2 linked regions of the Saccharomyces cerevisiae S288C genome follow. Changing the gene in region 1 together with any one later gene gives a genetic interaction. Each region holds a gene or a part of one and is shown on either strand. Other genes may lie near its edges.

What was found. Genes that interact genetically often act in the same process or in processes that back each other up.
Region 2: mutations in ECM23 (region 1) and PUB1 together harm fitness more than expected from each alone (negative genetic interaction), as found in Saccharomyces cerevisiae (2 studies listed by BioGRID).

Annotation. Positions count from the first base shown.
Region 1 is NC_001148.4:509,533-512,236, reverse strand, and holds ECM23 (Ecm23p), read right to left. Parts: upstream 1,137-2,704; coding exon 573-1,136; downstream 1-572. Other genes in the region: ssDNA endodeoxyribonuclease RAD1, read right to left, coding at 2,238-2,704. UniProt on the Saccharomyces cerevisiae protein: Involved in morphogenesis. May be involved in cell wall organization and biogenesis.
Region 2 is NC_001146.8:601,083-604,797, reverse strand, and holds PUB1 (Pub1p), read right to left. Parts: upstream 1,892-3,715; coding exon 530-1,891; downstream 1-529. Other genes in the region: YNL018C (uncharacterized protein), read left to right, coding at 3,024-3,715. UniProt on the Saccharomyces cerevisiae protein: May be associated with hnRNA within the nucleus and remains associated during nucleocytoplasmic mRNA transport, once the proteins are in the cytoplasm, disassembly of PUB1-RNA complexes may occur prior to PAB1 binding and formation of a translationally competent RNP complex.

The sequences.
Region 1 (2,704 bases):
AACCACTTGAAAATAAATCATAAGAATAGCATAAGCACCAGCTCAATTTAGATGTCTGTACAAAAAGTAATATATTTTAGAGATGAGCAGGCAGAACCACACATTAGTGACGATTGTCTTCGACCTTATGTGGAATCTTAAGCTTTAACATATAAGTAAAAATTTTTATTTTCAACAAAAGATTAGAACGAAATGAAATTCCTTAATTGAACCTTCTCTTGGATATCAATCTATTGGCAATCATTCCTAGAGAATATATTATTGAGTGAAAACTGTAGATACGTGCTAAGCGGTAAAGCCCTTATGAACATCGTCACACTATCTCTATATTGAGCCTCCGTAAATTTCGAATCATTTGAAATTCATTTTTCCTGGTAGGAAGATACTTGATAGTGGAGGATAAGTAAAGTAAATTGTGGTTATCATTTATTTGGTGGTAAAGTACCTTTTTTATGTTTTTTTTGAAGATGGAAATTCAGGCATTTTAAAAAAATAGAAAGCTCGAAATATCTCAAAAAACATAAAAATAGAGGAAGAATCCGCTGAATATACCATCTTTACAAACTACTTAACTATTTATTTTTAAATATAAAATTTTTAGTACCATCATCGGAGGATTGTTGCGATCGTATTTTTTTCTCCATTTTTTTCCTATATGCTATGCCACATCGACTACATAGCTCAACATTTCCATTAGGTCCACTTCTCCACTGAGAAGTCCAGGTGTCACCACAAGTGGCGCACTCTTTTGGTTGACCGTTGGGGAGTATAGTTTGTTTCTTCCTACTTTTAGGTCTATATCCTGCTAAAGATTTCTTTCCATTGGATGATATTGGTAGTGATGAAAAAGATGGGGCTGGTAGAATAGAGGGGTTATGCAAAGGCCCACCAAGACGACTTTCTTCCTTCAATTTTGGACTCAGCGCACTATTTAAGCTTTTGATCTTCTGTTCAAGAATATCTGCTCTTTTTAAATCTGGCGTGACACCAGATTTCGGGATACTGGCTACTGAACAGCAATAATTGGGATTAGCGGCAATGAACAGAACCATTTGTACAAAACGATCGAAGTGGAATTTCGTTCTACGACCAGAGCTACTAGCGCCGCTTGTTCCCTGCTCTTTGTTATATAACATAATATGATTTAAAAGTTCTATCACTCAGCACTACAACGCAGTATTTTTATTCTAGATGACCAGTATAGCAAATATTGTTACCCTTGAGATATTGGTAATTTAACCAAATCTCAAGTCATAAATGCCTCCCTTTTAAGTTTACATAGGCAGTGGACAGATTGGTACATCATATTAAAGGAAATAATGAACGCTAAAAAGAATGCCTTTTACTGACACATTCACTTTTAATACGAAAACGGATTTTGTGGTATATGACGTTGAGCACTGCGTGGTTTTCTGTGAATCCGCCGTGCCTAAAATGGACCCTTAATTATTTAACAATAGACCGGCCCGAATAATGTTAACATGAAGGGAAAAGTGCACATAACTGCAAACTACTTTGGTAGGTTGATTATCAGAGCTAAGCCATCCTACAGGTAATGATTTCCAAATTTTTTCTTAAGTAAAAAAGTTCAGAAAATAGAAGAAATATAAAATTTAAAAGGAATTACTGTTTACGAGACACATCGTTCATTCTTGGATAAATATACAAATCTACTTAAGAAAAAGCTTTCCTTATTTGTTGTTTCCTACTTTGTACCATTTGGTTTATTATATATCGTTGTGGAAAAGAAACTTGGTCTCTTGAATCTTAGTCGCAAAAGAAAATTTTTACCCACATAGGTAATGGAAAAGAGACAAAATTATTTCTGGACCTTATTCAAGAGGATGAATTTGAAGCATTTATTAATAATGAATATGATTGTGCGCTTCTAAGAAAAACTCACGGGTAATTTGGCTTAAAATGATTCACTAATGCCACGCTCAGATTCCACCAAATACGGTTAAAAAATCAAAAATAAATGAACTTCATTTGGTCATTTTTACTGCTAAAAAGTGGAAGATGAATTGCGGATGATATGAAAAATTTGAGTGAATAAACTATGAACGCGAAAAAAAGAATATATATGCGGAATAAAATATCAAAGTAAAAGATTCAAAGAGCATGTCTAACTTATAACATATACGGTCGAAGTCACCAAATGAATATTGTTATTTTCACTATAGTTAATCGCATTTTATACTGATGTTTTAACAGGGTTCGTTAAATTAAACAATATTTTACACAGGTGCTTCAGGAACATCATTATGATGATCATGTAAAGCGTTATCATCAGTGGTCTTACCAGGAGATTCAAGATTTTCATCTGTTGACTCTTGTTCTTGTTCTTCTTTTTCTGTTCTCAAGAAGTAGTATATTCTATCCGTCAAATCTTCGTCATTAATAAGTTCATTAATCTCATTCCATGAAAGCTTTTGAAGCTTATTGAAGCTCTTGATCTTTTTGCGGAGATTGAAATAATCAATTTTTGACACTCCAGGAACATTCAACAGTCTCTTGAATTTAGACTCGTTATCACCATCCTTCAGGCCCTTTGCAGTGCTATTAAAATCCGATCTAACTTTATTCGTTCCCAATATAACTGCATTACTAGGGTCAGGTTGCTCACGTCCTAATTTCAACTCTAGGATTATATTTACAGTTTGCAGGGGTGAGGAAGACCATATAATCTTTAAAGTGGGAAACC
Region 2 (3,715 bases), on another chromosome or scaffold:
TTGCCTTTATGTGCCTGGACTCAAGACTGACATGTCTCCATAACGCTAGGTAGCATTTTTATATACTTAACAAAAGTTGTAAAAAATAAAAACAAAAATTATATATATGGACTCGACAAAATACAGTGGGATGGATGTTTAAAAAAAATAGGGTAAGAAAGGAAAAAGGAAATATAATAAAGAAAGCCTTCAGAAAATACGTTCTTTATTTTTATCACACTATTAGCAATGACTTTCACATTTTAAAGGAAAATAATAGTATTAAAAATTAAACAGTGACGAAGGAAGGAAATAAGACACAGAAAAACTAAAAAAATAGAGTAAGTTTATAGGCCCTTTTATTTTTCGAGCAATAGTAAATTGAGTTTCTTCTTCTTTTTCTCTCCCTTTTTCGTAGTAATTTTTTTTTTAAAAATAGTATAATATAATGAATGGATTCTTGTCGTTCTTTTTTTATTTTATCTTGGGATTTGTAGGTTGCCTCTCTTTATTCTTTCTTTTTGTTTCATTCCACTTTTCTTCATAATATTTATTGTTGTTGCTGCTGTTGCTGCTGTTGCTGTTGTTGCTCAGACATAACCGGTTGTTGTTGGTCATTCATTATAAGTGGCTGACCGCCCTGTTGCTGCTGCTGTGGCATAAAATTTGATCTTTCCTTACCCCAACCGGTTCTCAAGTTTCTGCCTTGAAATGGGAAGTTTGCCAAGGCAACAATACAAACAGCGGCCTGTTCATGAGTGTCATACTTTATGAAGCAACAGCCCTTTTCTGGATAGTGCTTGAAATCTAAAATAAAACCGAAGTTCTGGAACAACGGAATTAAATCAGCTTCAGTGGCAAAGTGCGGAATATTACCGATATAGGCAGTAGTAACTCTTGGTGGGGCACTTCTAATGATGTGGTCAACAGCTTGAGGATTTACTTGAGGAGGTAAACCAATGGTCTGGGATTGTTGGGGTTGGCCTTGAGATGGTAATGGCATGGCGCCAATTGGCATTCCCATTGAACTTGGTGGCATGCCCCTGCTGTTGTTCATATTCATATTCATGTTCATATTCATCCCCATATTCATGTTGTTATTGTTGTTACTGTTATATTGACGGAAACCACCACGGTTGTTGTTACCGTAGTTACGACGCTGTTGATAATTATTATTGTTATTGTTATCACGCTTAGCAGCCCAGTTGATTCTTAGCGGTCTACCATTCAAATCTTGACCTTGCATGCTGTCCATGGCATTTTGTGCATCATCTTGAGAAGTAAAGGAAACAAAACCGTAACCTCTTGAACTACCAGTTTGCATGTCCCACATAACATGACCACTCAAGTAGGATGGGAAGTCTTTGAAGGCATTCCTTAAAGTTTCGTCATCAACATTAACATTCAAATCACCGACAAACAAGTTAAATGTATCATCGGAGGAACTCTGTTGGGATTGGAAGGCCCAGTTGATTTTGACAATGTTGTTTTCAATTTGTTTGCCGTTCAATGTTTGTAAGGCAATATTGGCATCGTGAGATTGATGGTATTCAACAAAAGCGTAATTGACGTTCTTATTATTCTTATCGATCATGATTTTGATGTTAGCAATTGGTCCGCCAACTTGGAAATATTGCTTTAAAATGTCTTCGGTGATAGCTTTGTCTAGGTTACCAACATATAAAACTCTATCGGAAGTTTCCCTACCACCGGTAATAGCATTAGCAGGAACTACGGAAGGATCATTTTCACCCTGATTGTCTTCAGCTTGTTCAGAATTGCCTTCGACAGCGACGCTCTGTTCAGAAGAAGGATCTGCTGATGCTGGAGCTTCAACTGCCGAGGGAGTTTCGACGGCAACAGGTTGCTGTTGTTGTTGTTGTTGATGTTGTTCTTCGTTATTTTCAGACATTGGAATCGAACAAAGAGTAGATGTGGTAATCTTCTTATTATGAACCTGCTATTAAGATGATAGAAGGGAAGATTAAACTCTAACTTAAAGCACGAAATGGAAACAGTAGATATTATGAAAATAACTGCAGAGTAGAAAAAAGGAAAGGCATGCTTTACCGTAGTTGAATGATTATTACGAGAGGAAAATGAAGGACAAGGAAAGACGGCCAACGATGAAAAAAAAAAATTGAAAAATTACAACAAAAAAGAAGCGAAGGCAAAAAAAGTTGAAAAAAGTACGAAGTGAAAATACGTAAAGAATTATGTTACAAAATGATGAAAAGAGAACGAGTAAATATTCTCTTTGAATTAATTAGTATACGTTAGGATAATTAATCTTCAGAGGTTTAGTAAGAACATTGTGCTTACAACCGCAACGCGTAAACCTTATGCTAACAAGCCTCTTCGTTCACCTCCCTTGTAACGGCAGTGGGAAGGGTAAGCAAAATAAATCACATTGCGAGAAATGTAAAAAAAGAATGGTCTCTAGCGGGATCGAACCGCTGATCCCCGCGTTATTAGCACGGTGCCTTAACCAACTGGGCCAAGAGACCATTGTTATCTGTTTTTCACCCTCCCTCCACACTATCAAACCAACGTCACAAATGTGTGCCAGAACCACCGCTCATTATCTCTGTGCCACAAAAATCAACTTACACTGTCATTCGAATTTCCGGCAAACTCCGACTGAGAAATGTTCGTACTACTTCCTTTCTAGGGCACATTAAAGGAAAAACTCATTGAATGCACCCTTCACAAATCTTAATATCTCTGACCTTTGCATTGTATTAACCAAGCAACCCTCCCTGTGCAAGTAGAAGCCCTGGATCCTTTGTGGTCGTAAAATGAACAAATACCAATAAGACGAAAACAAAAACAAAAACAAAACGACATAGCAACAATGCGGAATTATTTAAGGCTGGCACTCTTTCCGCATGTTTATCACAATTATTTCCACTTTCACTTAAAACCTTGTTTAAGCTTGGCCTACACCACAGGAAAAAAAACCATCCGATCTAATCTTCAAATATCAATTTGAGGTTGAAAAAATTTGCTAAAGCGTTGGTCTAATTTTGTTTTTCGCCCACATAATGTCTACATCTTTCCAGGAGTTCAAGGCCTTCTGCAACAAGGTTGGGCTAGACTTTCAATGGCTTAATTTGCAATCCTCCAAGTCTGTTCCCGAAAACGGTTCCTCTGAAGGTTTCTCAGCCGTCAGTGATACCGTACAAGAAAACATCAGACCAGCTACGGAACCACTTAACGTCAACCAGTCCAAAGATCCTGTCAGCAACTTTTTTTATGATGTCAAGAATGCTCCACTCTGGAACGTGTATAAGAGGAATCATTCCGGTCATTCTTCTGCTGAGGCTTGTTCTGGAGTAAGTTCAAGGCAGGCGCCAAAAAACATACCCGAGGCAATGGTAAAAGAGACAGTCCTTTCTAATCACGACAATGTCACCATAATAAACGAATTACTGCCAACTTCTTCTGCCATGCATCAGGAAGAAAGCACCGCTATGACAACCTCCTACCTCTTATCCCACTCCGTAAACGATACTTGCAACGTGATGTTTTCTTCCTCCTCCCACAACCGTGCTATGCTCCCATCTTCTCTTGTGCAAAGAAATAACGCTACCACATCTCCCACAACAGACTCTGCATCAGAAAACAACGAATCGGTACCCTCACTAACCTCATCTGTTAGCACATCCTCATCAGTTTATTCGTCATGGAATCCTCCTCATTCTCCACACATATCGTCATTTCCAGACGGCAATTT